Linked DNA regions of Kluyveromyces lactis. The protein of the gene in region 1 purifies or fractionates together with the protein of each later gene. This does not show direct contact. Links are inferred from orthologs where the notes say so. Each region holds a gene or a part of one and is shown on either strand. Other genes may lie near its edges.

The links.
Region 2: the proteins of TUS1 (region 1) and IPP1 purify together in Saccharomyces cerevisiae (affinity purification with mass spectrometry; 3 studies listed by BioGRID). This does not show direct contact. The link is inferred for Kluyveromyces lactis from reciprocal best matches to the Saccharomyces cerevisiae genes TUS1 and IPP1.

Annotation. Positions count from the first base shown.
Region 1 is NC_006040.1:219,398-229,167, reverse strand, and holds TUS1 (Rho family guanine nucleotide exchange factor TUS1), read left to right. Parts: upstream 1-4,914; coding exon 4,915-8,901; downstream 8,902-9,770. Other genes in the region: palmitoyltransferase YKT6, read left to right, coding at 2-604; CYB2 (L-lactate dehydrogenase (cytochrome)), read left to right, coding at 1,917-3,686; TDA5 (Tda5p), read left to right, coding at 9,386-9,486, 9,582-9,770. UniProt on the Saccharomyces cerevisiae protein: Guanine nucleotide-exchange factor (GEF) for RHO1 that stimulates the exchange of RHO1 GDP-bound form into GTP-bound form. Required for signaling of cell wall defects to RHO1.
Region 2 is NC_006041.1:1,566,362-1,574,784, reverse strand, and holds IPP1 (inorganic diphosphatase IPP1), read left to right. Parts: upstream 1-4,551; coding exon 4,552-5,535; downstream 5,536-8,423. Other genes in the region: alpha-1,2-mannosyltransferase MNN2, read left to right, coding at 1-1,800; KLLA0_E17733g (glutaredoxin), read left to right, coding at 2,426-3,061; APC11 (anaphase promoting complex subunit 11), read left to right, coding at 3,279-3,767; phosphoribosylanthranilate isomerase TRP1, read right to left, coding at 5,615-6,247; HHT1 (histone H3), read right to left, coding at 6,561-6,971; HHF1 (histone H4), read left to right, coding at 7,801-8,112.

The DNA.
Region 1 (9,770 bases):
GATGAAGATATATTACATTGGAGTTTTAAGAAACAGCGATGATAAGACCCTTGAATTAAGTTCTGTGAAGGACTTATCACAATTTGGGTTCTTTGAAAGGAACAGTGTTGCACAGTTCATGTCCTTTTTCAGTGAGACTGTTGCTGGCAGGACAAGTGCTGGTCAAAGACAGAGTGTTGAAGAAGGTAACTATGTAGGTCACGTTTACGCAAGGCCTGAAGGAATTTGTGGTGTTTTGATTACGGATAAGGAGTACCCAGTAAGACCAGCTTATACGTTGTTGAACAAAGTATTGGATGAGTATTTGGTAGCGCACCCTCCTATCCAGTGGAAGGACGTGACGGAGAGTGACGATTCGCTCAAGTTGAAGGAGTTGGATATCTATATTGCCAAGTATCAGGACCCATCTCAAGCTGATGCAATAATGCGTGTACAGCAAGAATTAGACGAGACCAAGATCACGCTACACAAAACCATTGAAAACGTATTACAAAGAGGTGAGAAATTGGACAATTTGGTAGACAAGTCCGAATCACTATCTGCTGCATCGAGGATGTTCTATAAGCAAGCAAAGAAAACCAATTCGTGCTGTATAGTTATGTAGACGGATTTGAAATAGAGGCCAAAACATGGCCAGCCTGATCATATATAGCCCTTGCTACGAGTATTAAGCATAATAGTAATCAAAATAAAGTAATAGTAAGGTTTCACCGGCGTTTTGACCGCCACCTTTGATCAGCCTTTCGTTCCTTCCTGTCCACTAGGGTCTGATTTATCTATCATCATCTGGCTGAGTACGGGCAGCGGATCAATTTTGAAAGAAATTTTCTCCAAAAAAAACGACCCCGGAGAGGATTGAACTCTCGATCTTGCGATTAACAGTCGCACGCCTTAACCAGCTTGGCCACGGAGTCTACTTGCTGGACGCTGTCTTTTGTCCAAGATACCATAAGGTCCAAGACCGACCATTGCCTGCTCACCTGATATTACGTTATCTGCCTGTTAAATTCGGAGTACTTACTCACAGCGTTATCCCCCCCAAACACATAATATACAGGAGGTAAACAGCAGCTCCAAAAGTCACTCCGAATCTCGCTTTTCTCAAGCTCATCGTTAGCGTATCGATGGTATAGTTCGGGCCCTGTTTCCTGTTCTCCGACCCACCCTGTCTGCTTTCTCCCCACGCTACAATTTTTTTTTCAGTTCAAAATGCCGTTATGCATGCGCAAACCTCTCGAGACGTCCTTTTTACCGTTTTCCGTGTTCTATGTCAAGCTATGGAACACTTCACTGTTCTATCTACCGTCTGCTACGACTCCCTACGCTATTGCAGGTTTGTTGACCCATCTGACCTTAGATCTCCAACTGTTCGGCTGGCAACTGCGTAGTGAATTTTGCCTACATTGAGGGAATACAGGACCCATAGAGAACATCCAGAAAGCCGAATGAGAATGGGGTTCCCTCATTGCGCGTGGGTTGCGTGCAATTTTTATACCGATATAATTCCAAATATATACCAATTACAGTATGGTTGACGTCCAGTGCGTCAATGAAAATAGCCTTGGGGTACTGTTACTGATCAAGCGTCCTTGGTAATCCGAAGATCCGCTTGTTCCAACTCAATGTGACCCACGAATGTGGAAACTGTTTAGCGTTTTATCCCACACTAGAGAAAGAGGCATTCATTTCTGGAGTTTGCGAAGAGTTGGCCCGATATTTGCTGTTGACGAAAATGACTAGTTCGAGTTTAATGCAGATGTAATAGACAATAGATAACATATATATATATATATATATATATATAAGTAGAGCTATGTCGCAGTTGGGAATTGGTTATAGTGCGGTTGAGGTTAAATTTGTTTGGTATAATCTTTAATCAGAAAACAAAGCCCCTAGGTATCAACATCGTCATTACTATGAGATCAGCCGTAAGAGTTTTTGGTAAGAACCGTGTTAGTGGGTTGAGATTTGCTAGCACCAGTAGTAAATCTCCAATTCATAAGTCTAGTGCTACTCTGCGTTTTGGGAGATCAGCTAAGTCTGGCTATAGTGCGTTTTCGTTCGGTAAGAAAGTCATCACTGGTGGTGCCTTTCTTGTTGCCGGTTCGGTTGGTATTGCATTGATTTCTCAATTCAATGATAGCGTTGAAAATGGTGCCAAGGTCGATATGACGAAACCAAAGGTTTCTCCAACAGAAGTCGCAAAGCACTCTTCTCCCAAAGACTGTTGGGTGGTCATTGAGGGTTACGTATACAATTTGACTGATTTCATCAGCGCCCATCCTGGTGGTCCAGCTATCATTGAGAACAACGCAGGAAAAGATGTGACCAAGATCTTTGCTCCAATTCATGCTCCAGATGTCATCGAAAAATACATTGCTCCAGAGAACAGAATTGGTCCACTAGATGGTACAATGCCTGATGACTTGGTCTGTGCTGCATTGACCCCAGGTGAAACTCCCGAAGATGTGGCAAGAAAGGAACAATTGCGTCAATCTTTACCCGATATTGATTCCTTGGTTAACATCTATGATTTCGAATTCTTGGCATCCCAAATCTTGACTAAGCAAGCTTGGTCTTACTACTCTTCTGCCGCTGATGATGAAGTTACACATAGAGAAAACCACGCTGCATACCATCGTATATTCTTCAAGCCAAGAATCTTGGTTAACGTTAAGGAAGTTGACACTTCCACTACAATGTTAGGTGAAAAAGTCGGTGTTCCATTTTATGTGTCTGCCACCGCATTGTGTAAACTAGGTAACCCCAAGGAAGGTGAAAAGGACATCGCAAGAGGTTGCGGTGAAAGTGACGTGAAACCTGTTCAAATGATTTCCACTTTGGCTTCTTGTTCTTTACAAGAAATCGTGGAAGCAGCCCCATCTAAGGAACAAATCCAATGGTTCCAATTGTATGTGAACAGTGACCGTAAGATCACTGAAGATCTAATCAAGAACGTTGAAAAATTAGGATTAAAGGCCATTTTCGTTACAGTAGATGCTCCTTCCTTAGGTAACAGAGAAAAAGATGCTAAAGTCAAATTTACAAACTCAAACGGTGCCAAGGCTATGGAAAAAAGTAAGGTTAAGGAATCTAAGGGTGCTTCTAGAGCTCTCTCGTCATTCATTGATCCTGCATTAAACTGGGATGATATCATCGAATTTAAGAAAAAGACCAAATTGCCAATCGTCATCAAGGGTGTTCAATGTGTTGAAGATGTCTTGAAAGCTGCTGAAATCGGTGTTGCAGGTGTCGTTCTATCTAACCACGGTGGTAGACAATTGGATTTCTCTAGGGCTCCTATCGAAGTGTTGGCTGAGACTATGCCAGTGCTAAGAGAAAAGAAATTGGATGATAAAATCGAAATTTTCATTGATGGTGGTGTTAGAAGAGGTACCGATATCCTAAAGGCATTGTGTCTTGGTGCCAAGGGTGTCGGTCTAGGTAGACCATTCTTATACTCTAACAGTTGCTACGGTAAAGAAGGTGTCAAGAAAGCCATTGAGCTATTAAAGGACGAATTGGAAATGTCGATGAGATTACTCGGTGTCACAAGTATAGACCAATTATCCGAAAAATACCTAGATCTATCTACAATCCATGGTAGAACTGTCAATGTTCCTCGCGATAACCTATACCGTGAGGTATATGTCCCACATGAACCAACTCAATTCTTAGAGGAATGAAAAGAGCAATCTCACTTTTGCCATTCGAACCCATAAAGACTCATATTATTTAATGAACGTTTCTTTAATGATAATTTATAAATGAATATTCCAACATATATTATATAAACTAAATCGCGCCAGAATAGATAAAACAAATATCACGCAGGTATTTACGAAAAAGTAAAACAATGTCCACTTATTTATTACGATTGGCGAATCAATACGCAGTTATACAATTCCCGTTGACATTCAATTCAAATTACGACGATACACAACAATAAATCAATTTCAGTCATGTTTAGAGTCCTATTTCAAACCGCAGGAATTGTTTTAATTTGTTATTTTAGTTTGATAATACATATATCCAAAAACCACATACAAGATATTCCTTGCAGATATTGATACATATTTTGTGTGTAGAATATGATTCGATTGCAGAAGGCATGACATCAGAATGTGCACTTTCCTTTCAAGCAGATGTCTTATGGCATCTGATATGACTCGTAGTAATCATTTCGAGAAATCACAAACTGAAAAAGCTGTCATCTTTTTGGAATGATAACCTTACTTTGTTGTAGTCAGGTACGTAGGAACTATGAGAAAAAGAAATGATTCACGTGACACAAAATTGCATCATCCTCTCTCACGCTAAGAAAGGGAGCCCCAGGTGTGCCTTCCGTTGTCCCACATTCATGTAAGCCCTTCAAACCTTCATATTAACGTCTTTCCAATAGCCTGCTCAGTAGCGTACAGTTCTGGAGATGCATTCGTCGAGAGTTCCTTCTGAGCAGTAATTATGCTTCGCAACGACGGTTTCCGGGCGAACGTTTCGGGGTTCCATCTTTTTTCGTTCAGCCGTCGACATAGGAAGTGAGAAACAATTAGAAAGGGAAACAGAAGGGAAACAAATAAGAAACAGGTAGTTAACCGTTCGAAACTGTGATGTTGCAGTTTTCTGTTTTCTTCAATTTGCTTCCCTTCCCTTTGTAATGGTAACGACAAATCGTAGGAACAACTTATTGTTATTAACAAATATAATGTTGTAGCTACTATGTAAATAGATGATGGGGTGGACAGATGAATACTTTATTGTGAAAGGCCCCAAACTGATATCTCCCACTGCGTTCGTTGCTACTCGCGTATCAATTTAGCTTATATACACGAAGCTTTCACTTTCTGGCTTTATGAATACAAGTTTACCTTTATCAAAGTATTGCAATTCATTTCAACAGTATCATTTTGAGTAATGGACAGTACACAACGATCTCCTAGATTACCGGCGTTACCGCCTTTGCAGAGTCAACAATCTACTCCCAAGAAAGTTGGGAATAATGAGAGGAGGAGGAGGCCTCCTCCTCCAATACTGACGAGCCCTGTGACTCCTACATCTGGATCATCTTTCACCGTCGTACCGTCTAGATCAAGTGAAAAGCAGCAGCCTCAGATTGACCAACAGCACCTTTATTCATCTCCTTTTGTCACAGAGGTAAGTGTGAGTGAAAAGAGGGCGCCTGCTCCGAAAGTGTATATATCGCCTTTCGTTGGTGATCCATCTGTGTTTCGGTCACCTGAAACTCTTCCAAATAGCAGTTTCAGCAATAATAGCGATAGTCCAGCTTCACAATCAGATAATAATAATTATAATAATAATAGGCTGTCTTCTTCTTCAACTTCAAGTATATTCACCAATAATGTAACGATGCCAAATATTGAGTTTGAAGGGTTCGCTAGTTCGGATTCGAAAGATATCACAATGAAAGCTCTGCCGGCACTACCCCCACGAACGTTCTCCGGCCCTATTAACGCGGCAACAAAGACTACTGCAACATCTAGTAGTACACTGCAGTTTACGGGGCCCGTTGAACACCGTTATAATGATATGGCAGTTCCAGAAACGCTCCCTGCGCTGGATGCCATTTCTCCAATATCGACAGGAAATTTCAACTGGTCCACTTCGGATAAAAGTAGTTTACAAAACACAACTTTATACTATCCACAACCTCCGAAGATGAAAGATGTTAGTAATGGAGCAATAGGGCCTAATGAACCAAGACTTTCAGACTCAATCAGTAGTTATTATTCCAATTCGAGCTACGCTTTCAATAAAAACGTGGAAGAATATGCTAGACATGAATCGTTCGGTTCAATCACTGGGAGTAAACCACTGAATAATGTGGCTAGCATTACAGTGCCAACATACCCCTTCACGATCGACCTTTTGGATGAAAGAAAACTTTACCAGTGCTACAACATTAGCCAATTGTCACACATATACCAGTGGCTCTTGAAAGTATACTTCGAATGGTTTAATGAATACGTTTTCGGTAAATTGGAATTCTTTCAAATTGTTCAATTACTGTTGGAATTCCAGCTACCAAATTCTTGCGAGCAAGATATCATTGATTCGAACGTGGACAAAATTATTGAATCGCTTATCTTACAAGGTGCTGTGCGATTCGAAGACGATCCGGAAACTGGGAACCAAATCACCATCATCATTGCGGGGCTTGATACTCAAGGGGTTTTTACGGATTTATTGCCCTGTTACTCTTATTCTCATATATATGATGATCCTACTACGGATTTGAAGTGCTATTCATACACCTGCTGGAGCTCAAAAGGATCAGAGAATTACAGGTCACAGCTTAAAATCTCAGAATTCATCAACAAGTCAGTGGGGCTATGGACCGATTACTGGAAATTGACTCCCGAAGAATTATCTGAGATTAATCCTAAGGAAGTTAAACGCCAGAGTTTCATATTTGATCTAATAGTGCTAGAGGAAAGATCATTAAACCTCGCTAATGCAGCAGTAGAGATATATGGGGCCTCTTTTGATCCGGCTCTTTTACCGGATGACCCAAATTTTAAGTCGATGGCATATGATATATTCATTCCATTGATAGAGTTACATAAGGATATTCTTTTGAGCCCTATCCTTTGGAAACTTAAAATAAAAGGTAAATTCATTGATGGAGTTGGCAAGATATATTTAAAGTGGGCAAATGATGCTAAACAGGTGTATGTGAAGTATGCGCAAAATATGGCTACTGTCCACGAAATAATCAATTGGGAAAAGGAAAATAATACCCGGTTTGCATCTTGGTTGAGGCAAATCGATGAGTCAACTCCAATAACCAGATCTAAACTTTACCACGACGTTATCTTTTTTGGTGGATTTTTCAAATCTTTACAAAATATGCCAGTAACACTCAGATCTGTATTGAAGTGTACTGATCCATCAATGGATGATCACGAATACTTACGTATGGCAATTCAAGAGATTGAACAACTATCAAGATTAGTAGATAAAGCCCATGGTGATGCGATAGATAAACGTAAGATAGTCAGACTAGCTCGTCAATTGATTTTTACATCTAAGACAGGCAACACTGTCAACTACCTTAACATACAGTCTGGTAATGATTCCGTGTCAAATTTCACTACAAACAACGAGCATCTTGATTTAAAGTTAGGGGACGGTGACAGGAAGCTAATAATGCAAGGTATATTACAGAAGAAAAGAGAACTATGGCTTGAGAGTGCCCCTGTCTATGTCTTTTTATTGGACAATTATTTTCTGATCACTGAAGAAATATTCAAAGGATCAGGGAAGAAATATAAGCTAATAGAAAGACCCATACCCATTGATTATTTGAGTGTTGAAACAAAGGAGGACATTAACTATAAAAGAAAATCATTGTCAGATGCTGATGAAGAATCTTGCAATGTCCAAACGCCGTCTACGTCAAAGAAGCCTCCACTTTTACCTGCTGGAACAACAATGAGCTCTATACCGAAGACGATATACCAAACTGCTACCAACGCTACTTTAAACAATGACGATAATGAAGAATCTTCTTATTCATTCAAGATTAGGAATACTGCGTCTAACGAATCTCATACATTTTCAACCTCAACCATGGAAGAACGAGAACACTGGGTTGCCTCGCTGGTGAAGGCATTCCAGAATCATATGGGTCACAACGAAAAACAGGCGTTTCAATTACAATGTCTCTGTGATCTGTTTTCTTACGATGAGATTCAGGCGCCTACTAATTTACCATTAGAGCCAGAAGGGTCCGCTGTTAGCTCTGCGATGAAGGAATTCTACAGTGTGAACTCACCAAAAACTTTCGCGTCTATGAAAGGTGACATCTTATGCTCAGTATCGTTTCAATATGAGAATGAGACATTTTTACTTTGCAGCGTAAACCACGGGGTATACATCACATTGCCAAGATTACTGCACCAATGGAAACGCATACTCAACTTTTCCAAAGTGACAAAGATGGAAATAAGCACAAAGTTAGGCTTGCTTTTCCTTCTTGCTGACAGGAAGTTATGCTATTTCAACATACCCAGTTTAATATCAGCATTTTACGATTCTGAACAATATTTACCTGACAACAGAATTGTGGGGATCATCATCCAGGAGAAGATCACATTTTTTAAAATGGCAGAAGACTTCAGCAATTCCAGGCATCTGTTTTACGAACGAAAAGGTGAAATCATTATAATGACTCCCGAGTTTGATCCGTTAACGAAAGTATTCAAATTTTTCAAGCATTACAAGAGCTACAAAATACCCGTTAGCAGTAGCGGATTAACAGCTTCGACGGTATCCGATATTACCATATTAAGAAACAGTTTTATCGTTTGCTCCTCCAAGGGTGCTATCTTGTACTCAGACTCGTTCAATGAAGAAGGCGCTTTTTTACCCACTACGCTCACTGATACTTCAAAGTTAAAGCTTAACCATTTGTCATTTAGGAAGCAAACTGAATCTAAATCAAAGAATAACTCATCAACGATGAAGATGGCTGAATACGTTAAGTCAGATATTTTATCTAAGAAAACTAAACCTATAGCCTGTTTTCGAATTGATCCAAACAACTTTATCATATGCTATGATGAAGCCATTATACGAATCAATAAGTTTGGGGAAATTCCGGATTGGAAAAAGGATATTCTTGTATTAGATTTCTATTGCATAGGCGTGTCCTTAAACCTTGGTCACCTCATACTTGCAGGTGATAATCTTGTACAGGTGTACAACTTACGTTTCGTAGACACCGGAGAATGGGCACTTAACACAATCAAACCCGTTCAAATTATCAAGGGCAAGAAAATTAAGATTACTGACACTTCACAGGATTGCACAAGTATAGTATTGACCCACCCGAACATTGCAGGAAGACAGCTACTCTTGCACTTTAACCTATCAGTTTAAAAAAGGCTCGCTAGTTGATGCCAAGGTACATTGAGTATGATTCCGAAGTAACATGGTAATATCTCCACATACAACCCTGCGAAATCAGTATTATAAACGTTTATGTAGTAAAGAACCTTTCATTGTAACACCCACACTTACTCTCATGGAGTTGCAATTATTTCCTTGTTTATCTTTAATAAGTGAATTATATCAATACTTTCTTCATAATAGCAAATTTAGTTGTATGATTGAATAATTCTTAAATAAAACCACCATTGTCAATAAATAACCCATTATAGAATAAAACAATCAACTTAGGGCGAAGGAAAGTTTTTGTGTCATGGTCTGATGATCGCTTTTTGTGTGTCATTTGTTTCCTATAAATTGAGTTGGTCTGACAGAAAACTTGATCTATTCAAATATCGACACTTTACTTATTCTTAGCAGATTGGAAATTCTTAACTCATGAGTGCTGTATCGTAAGGGCATGAAGAACTTCAGTATGCAAGGTAGTACTACATGGATACAAAATGTCGACACGTTATGGGAAACCTTACAGCCGTTAATTAGATACCCAGTTCTACCTTTAATCCTGGTTGAAAAGTATGTTGAGATGAGCACTTACGGGAAAGATATACTTGGACATGAAAATAGGTATACTAACAAGCAATGAGTTACCATTGATACTGAGTTAACAGATTACTCGGCTTAAATCTCCGATACTTATACCCTGTACTTTTGACTTATAGTGTACTATTAACGATATACTTCCACATTGATACCAAGTATAAGACTAGGGGTTCTTGGATATCAATAAAAGACACAGCTGATCCGGTGTGTGTCATTACCGGAGGGAGTCTTGGATTAGGCAACGAGCTTGTAAAATC
Region 2 (8,423 bases), on another chromosome or scaffold:
GATTATACAAGTTCATTGAAAGAGTATACCCAGCAGTTCATTGAAGAGTATGAGGATACAGGCTCTTCGTACGATGATGCGAGACAGGAAGCGAGCCAACAGCAGGGTGACAAGCAAGGATCACAGACCAATACCAATGGTGATAGTAATAACAAGATCAATGGCGATAAAATAAAAAATAATAATAACTATTATAACGAAAATAATAATGATGGTGTTGTAAAGGATAACGTTGGCGCAAGTTCTACCCCCAGTTCAAAGAAGAAACAGGTCCAAGGGTTTTATGGTCAAGTTTTCAAGTATTTGAAGGAATTTGGTCCTGTTGGAGTTAATATTGCTACTTATAACCAAAAATGTAGTTTGAACGGTGATATTGGGTATAGGCAAGAGAACACAGACCAGTGGTGGAAACTTACCACTGAAGAGTTGAACAACTGTTTGCAACTTTCTCAAGAACAACGGCTGATGTTAAAAGAGGCCCATTCAAATTACGTTCATGCATTGAGTAAATTAGTGTTGCCCAAGGATACGTATAGTGGAGACGGTATAGTGACAGTTGGTGGTGGTAAATTTTCGATGATGGCTTTCCTTATCATTAAAACGGTAAGAAATTTCGGCACAACTTTACCAGTAGAAGTTTTCATCCCCCCTAGTGATGAAGGTGACGACGAATTCTGTAACGTCTTGTTACCTCAGTATAACGCTAAGTGTATCTATCTGTCAGATGCTTTCCCACCTGACTTGATAGAAAAATCCGATTTCAAAGGTTATCAATTCAAATCATTGGCTATCATCGCATCCAGCTTCAAGAATTTGCTATTACTAGACGCAGACAATTTCCCAATCAAACCATTGGATGGGATCTTTGAAGAAAAATCCTATAAGGATACTGGTCTTATCCTATGGCCTGACTTCTGGAGACGTACCACACATCCATCATACTATAGTATTGCTAATACACCTATCTCAAGCGAAAGAATCCGTAACACCATGGACGATGTCACTCCGCCTTCAGTCTATACCAAGGATTTGAAAGATTTGTCTGACGTTCCGCTACATGATCTTGATGGAACTATTCCAGATGCTTCCACTGAATCGGGTCAATTGATGATCAACAAACTGAAACATTTTCCAACGGTTTTACTATCGTTATACTATAACGTTTACGGGCCATCGTGGTACTATTCTATCTTCTCTCAGCGTTCCTCAGGTGAAGGTGACAAGGAAACGTTCATCGCTGCGGCTCATTTCTATGACTTGCCCTTCTACCAAGTACGTTCTGAACCCCGTGTTGATGGGTATCATAGGCATAATAACGAGGGTTTCCGCGGCGTTTGTATGTTACAGCACGATTTCGCCCAGGATTACAAAAGGTATCGTCAAGCTCAAAACGAAATCGGAACCAAATATACAAACGAACCCGATGACTACGATCCAAAGTATAATTATCAAGAAAATTACCTCGGTAAGTATTTCACAAATGATCCGGTCGATGTGATGTTTGTTCATTCCCATCTACCGAAATTCGACCCCGTTGAACTTGCATTATCTCAGGATTTGATTCAGGATGGTAAGCATATCAGATCTTACAGAAACTTGAAAAGAATGAACGGATACGATCTTGAATTAGAAGTGTTCAAAACTTTCAAAGAGTATGTCTGTGATAAAAGGGTACACTTTAAATACTTCGAGAAAGCAGTTAAACTAGAATCTAATTGGGGCATCATTTGCAACTACGTAAATGAAAGATTAGTTTACCTAATAGAAAGTCACTCAGAAGCCATGGAAGGAAGATTTTAACTCTGAAAGGAAAGACAAAAATAATTACAAAGTCATAAATTGACGATGGGCCGAAGCGTTCCCAGCATCAAACATATTACAACTGCATGTTCTTTTTCATGTTCTTTCTAATTTTCTTTCCTGATTGTTCTTTAATTGAAGTTTAGAATACTGTTTTAACAACTGATCTTATCGTTCATTTTAATTCTAATACAGACTTTACCGCATATCATACTATAATATTTATAAAAACAATCATTAATTCAACAACATCTAATCTGCCCGCAAATTAAAATCTTACGCGTTATGTTTCCAGTAAATTTTCCGTTTTAAATATAAATATGCATATATTCAGGATAGCGGGTGGTATCTAGTATTATTTATACACTATTTATGCTTTAATGCGTCCGGCAAACCCATAGGTATTCCATCCTTTCCCCTGTTTCTTTAGTTCTCTCTTATTTATCGATGATACGGCTGTTGGTCAAGAATGAAATAGTGAAATTTCTTGCTATTTAAGAAATTGGTTCTTGTCACATACAACCTTAAAATGATGAAACAATATGAACAAGACACGTTAGATTTTGGACACACCGTCTGTCTACACTTTCATAGATTATCAGATCCCAGGCGTTGTTGAAACGAGATGTTGAGTAAGAGAAGTTTGAGGCTGGTAAGTCTCACCGGTATGGTGATTTTCGTTCTTTTCTTCATCAGGCACAATGCAGAGTCCGTGACGCGTTCTTACGTGGGGAAAGAATCTAGCAACCTCGCGAATGATGCCAAGGTCGAGAGTGACATCAACAATATCCAAGAAGGTATTGCTGAAACCAAGAGTAACGCGGTTGTTGCTGATACCAGCAACGCAGTTAAAAATATGGCTGGGCCCAACGGTGTGAAAGACTCTGATTTCGCTGCTGAAGTAGAAACATACAACGCTGAAGCTGAGTACAAGAATATCCTTTCTCAATCACCAATCGTGGTGTTTTCTAAGAGTTACTGTCCTTTCAGTACGAGGCTCAAGAACTTGTTGAAGGAGTATGAATTTGATCCAATTTATACTATCGTTGAATTGGATAAGCATGAGAATGGAGCTGAACTACAGAAATATATCGGTAGCAAGACAGGAAGGTCTACTGTTCCTAACGTTATTATCAATGGTATATCTCGTGGTGGTAGCGATGAATTTGCTGGATTACATGAGGATAATTCATTATTACAGAGCTTGAAGACATGGGCCGGATCTACTTTATCCGTGAAGAAAGCTGCTGCTGCGACTTAAAACTTGGCCTATAACATATATAAACATTCGTATACTATACTACAGTGGATCTGATCCCTTTATTAAATTTGTAATAGAACCTGTGACACTTTTATGCATATGGGTATAATATATTATAAGAAAGGATTAGATAGGAAGAATTGAAAACACAAAGACAGAACGAAGGGAACTGTGACGAGGATAAAGCCTGCGATAAGGATACTTCACCCGTGTTACTATGCGTATAGAGGTAACAGATGTCAGTCTAGTGAGCACTTGGGCGTGGGATATTCCCAAGGATTTATCGAAAGGGAAACATGGTGTTGCAGATCAAACGGTACATATGGAAAAATGGGAAGATATACAGAATGAAGATGAGGATGCAGAGAACGATGAAGAAGAATATGAAGTGTGTGGGATCTGTCGTAACCGGTACGATGCTACTTGCCCCTCCTGTGATTACCCTGGTAGCGGATGTCCAATTGTGTTAGGATTATGCAATCATAATTTCCATGTTCATTGTATCAAGCAATGGCTAAGTACTGAAACATCAAAAGGGTTGTGTCCCTTGTGTAGACAAGGATTCCAGTTGAGGCCTAACGTTCTGATAAATAAGATGCACCATGATGAGTTCCAGAAACTGTTGATGAGTGTGAGACAGCACAACATTCCGATGGGTGGTGGTGAAATAGATCAAGATGTGATGGATGATGGCTTCATACGATGAAGGGAAGACTCGATATGCTGAAGATATGTGTGTGTACATCTATTTAATTGGTAATAGGATAGAGTAGTGGTTCAAATCATCAGTGATGGGCTAAGTATACTAGGTAGCGAGGCCATATTACAGGTGGTGTCTCTTGCTCACATGAGACAAAAAAGAAAATGCTTCCAACCAGAGTCGAACTGATGATCTCCACATTACTAGTGTGGCGCCTTACCAACTTGGCCATAGAAGCTGTTAATTTCTTGTTTGATGGGGTAAGAAAAACAACTACACCTGATACTTTTACAATCAGATGATCAAGCTCATGTGAGAATACACAACCACTGGTTCAATAAAAAAGGGCGATAAGCTAACCAGTATACTATTGTAAAATGGTATCGTGTTGCAGTCAATGTTTGTTCGTCAGTACACACGTCGATTGTACGTTGACCTACCGTTTCAGCAAGCCACGACCATGCGGTACCTATCGTGTGGCTTTTCCCCAAAAGCACTCTTATCACGTGATTTTCCCCTAATGTGAAACTCTGTTACTACAAAGAGAGAAGCATGATTAAACCCAATGACTTTAAAAAAAATACACTATGCAACTGCAACTGTATACAATCGGACCAAATATATACAGACCCTAATGTATACCCTAGCACACCTACACACGAACACAGAATCAGCCACTTCCTAAACTATCGCTTCTTCAAGCACCAATCTGCTTCTTTTCCATCCTGTCGTTCTCTCAAAGTGGACGACCTGAGGAAAAAAAAGTTGCAAAATTCATATATAAATAGGAATGAAAAATGCCTGCACTGGTTTACCATTGGCCACTGACGCCATATATATGATCTTAGGTTCTTCAATTGATATACAGCCTTATATACCCCCCGCCAAACGTATATATACACCGGACACGATGAGTTACACTACTAGACAAGTTGGTGCCAAGAATTCCTTGGATTACAAGGTTTACATTGAAAAGGATGGTAAGCCAATTTCTGCTTTCCACGACATCCCATTGTATGCTGATGAAGCCAATGGTATCTTCAACATGGTTGTTGAAATTCCACGTTGGACCAATGCCAAGTTGGAAATTACCAAGGAAGAGCCATTGAACCCAATTATTCAAGACACCAAGAAGGGTAAGTTAAGATTTGTTAGAAACTGTTTCCCACATCACGGTTACATTCACAACTACGGTGCCTTCCCACAAACATGGGAAGATCCAAACGAATCTCACCCAGAGACTAAGGCTGTTGGTGACAACGATCCATTGGATGTCTTGGAAATCGGTGAGCAAGTTGCTTACACTGGTCAAGTGAAACAAGTCAAGGTTCTTGGTGTTATGGCATTGTTGGACGAAGGTGAAACTGACTGGAAGGTCATTGCCATCGATATTAACGATCCATTGGCTCCTAAGTTGAACGACATCGAAGATGTTGAAAAGCATTTACCAGGTTTGTTGAGAGCCACCAATGAATGGTTCAGAATCTACAAGATCCCAGATGGTAAGCCAGAAAACCAATTTGCCTTCTCCGGTGAAGCCAAGAACAAGAAGTACACCTTGGACGTCATCAGAGAATGTAACGAAGCCTGGAAGAAGTTGATTTCTGGTAAGTCTGCTGATGCCAAGAAGATCGACTTGACTAACACCACTTTGTCTGACACTGCTACTTACTCAGCCGAAGCTGCCTCTGCTGTTCCAGCTGCTAACGTCTTGCCAGATGAACCAATCGACAAGTCCATTGACAAATGGTTCTTCATCTCCGGTTCTGCTTAAAAAGTGGAACGATCATTCACTATATATATATCAATTTATATATACGTATGTGTAATTGAAGAAAGATACGTTTTTTCCTCTATTGAGAGGCCTGCTGGATGAATAGCTTTACCTTTTCTAAATCCTTGATACCATCAGTCTCTACTCCTCCACTTACATCGACACCGATCGCATTTGGTAACATATTAATGGCAACAGAAACGTTATCAGGATTCAATCCACCAGCGATAATGAATTTTATCTCGGGATGACTTGCAGACCAACTGGAAATTGCACTCCAATTCAATTTCTCACCAGTGCCACCTTCACCAGAATCGAACAACGTCAGCACATTGTCTACGTGTTCATACAGGTCCAGTAGTAATTCACAATCCTGTGGGAACTGGAACCTCTTAATGATTGGAATTGAAGATGGGATCAAAGATCTGTATTCTTTAATATCTTCATCTCCATGTAATTGTATCACATCTAGATTATATTCGTGGTACAGTTGAAGGACATCATCAACGGACTGATTTCTAAACACCCCGACTAGTTTAGTACCTTTCACGTTCTCTTGTTGGTGAACTGCAGTTGAAATACCTTTCGCAACAGATGAGTCAATGGTTCTTTTCCTACCGGGAACACAAATGATACCTAAGTAATCAGCACCATCATCCACAGCAGTCTTTGCAGCTTCAACGGTTTGCAAACCACACACTTTAACGAGCATCACAGTAGATTTCGCAAGAGGGTAGCTCGCTCAGAGTACCCAAGTAAATGATTAGTAAACTGATGTTTGATAGTTCAATTTTTCAATGAAATAACCTTATATTAAAATTGATATTACTATTATACAAAAATAAAGAATAAAGGATTTGAGTTTATACATAAAATACCATTATTATTTGTTCAGTGAGAGATACCGGGGTATATGGGATGTGTGTAGTGATACCATGCAATCATGTATCAAACATGGAAGAAGTGAAGGGGGAGAAAGAAACTTGAAAAAAAGAAAACCATTTGAAAAGAGGAAAAGTATCTAATTAAGATCTTTCACCTCTTAGTCTTCTGGCCAACTTGATGTCCTTCTTTTGGATAGTGACTCTCTTAGCGTGGATAGCAGCCAAGTTAGTGTCTTCGAACAAAGAGACCAAGTAGGCTTCGACGGATTCTTGCAAAGCACCGATCGCAGAAGATTGGAATCTCAAGTCAGTCTTGAAATCTTGAGCAATTTCTCTGACCAATCTTTGGAATGGCAACTTTCTGATCAAAAGTTCAGTAGATTTTTGGAATCTTCTGATTTCTCTCAAGGCAACGGTACCTGGCTTATATCTGTGAGGCTTCTTAACACCACCAGTAGATGGAGCGGATTTTCTAGCAGCCTTGGAGGCTAGTTGTTTTCTTGGGGCTTTACCACCAGTAGACTTTCTTGCTGTTTGCTTGGTTCTAGCCATTGTGTGTGATTATACTGTCTTGGATGTTTTATGCCAATATTAACAGTAAATCAGAATTAATATAATTCAAACTGTAATAGGTGAAAAAGATAATTCTCAAGATCAAGCCTTTTATATAGTTGAAAACAAGGGGCTTAAAAAACTTGAGGCACTGGTGCACTAGTCTCCTGTCACTTCTGGTTCATGTCCTGTTCTCATTCCCAGAGTTTCACACAATTTCCGCAAAAGAAAAAATTGGTCTCATCCTACTTCCCCTTCTGGGATGTGTCTATTCATTTCTCTCCTCCTGCCATCGCAAAAGTCCATAGTAAATGCGACGGCCCCGTTTCCGTAAGAAATCGACCTGGGTTTCTAGCCACGAGTGGCGTGCTCTGCACTTCGCATCTCAGACGCGAAACCTGTGGTACAAGGCAGTTTGTTTTGGTTTGTCTAATATAAAGTATACCAAGAAAATTGAAAACTGAGTGTTAAATTATGTGGTGAGTGGGTGTTACCCTCCGGGTAACCTGTAAATCCCACAAAGAGATGGTCCGTGATTGTAATTTCACATATACCACCAGCCAGATGTGAAGTTACGGTACCGGTATGGTACAGCATGTTATTTGAGACCCATTCAGATACATTGCAACACCACTCAATTACTATGGGATCTTGTCTATTCCTGGATTTTGAAAAGAAAGGGGCAAAAACAGAACGTAACCTGATCTAAAGTATATAAAAGGGCTCAATCATTTGGATTGGATATTTTCCTGGTATGTCTGTAAAGTTGTTCATTCAACAATAGAATCCTAAACAGCACAAACAAACAAAGTTCAAATCAATATATACAATGTCCGGTAGAGGTAAAGGTGGTAAAGGTCTAGGTAAAGGTGGTGCTAAGCGTCACAGAAAGATTCTTAGAGATAACATCCAAGGTATTACAAAGCCAGCTATCAGAAGATTAGCAAGAAGAGGTGGTGTTAAGCGTATCTCCGGTTTGATTTACGAAGAAGTCCGTAACGTTTTGAAGACTTTCCTAGAATCTGTCATCAGAGACGCTGTCACTTACACTGAACACGCCAAGAGAAAGACAGTTACTTCTTTGGATGTCGTCTATGCATTGAAGAGACAAGGTAGAACCTTGTATGGTTTCGGTGGATAAACAAGAGACTGGATTTGTCTCGATATTCTCACACGCACACATATATCTTCTTTCTGTACATTATTTTACAACATACCCATCAGTTTGTATTTTATATTTTCATAGGTTTTAACGATTAATACAATATAACTTTTTTTCCCGGTGATAATCAGTATAGTGCTTGTATCAGGTTCTTCTGGTGCAAGTGGATCCCCCATTTATCCTTCCCCCTTTTCCTTGGCTCTAACATTGACAGTTCTAATTCTCTATTGTTTTTTATATCACGGGACTGTTTTATTTTCTTACCCGGACAGTACTCCCATTTGGTTTTA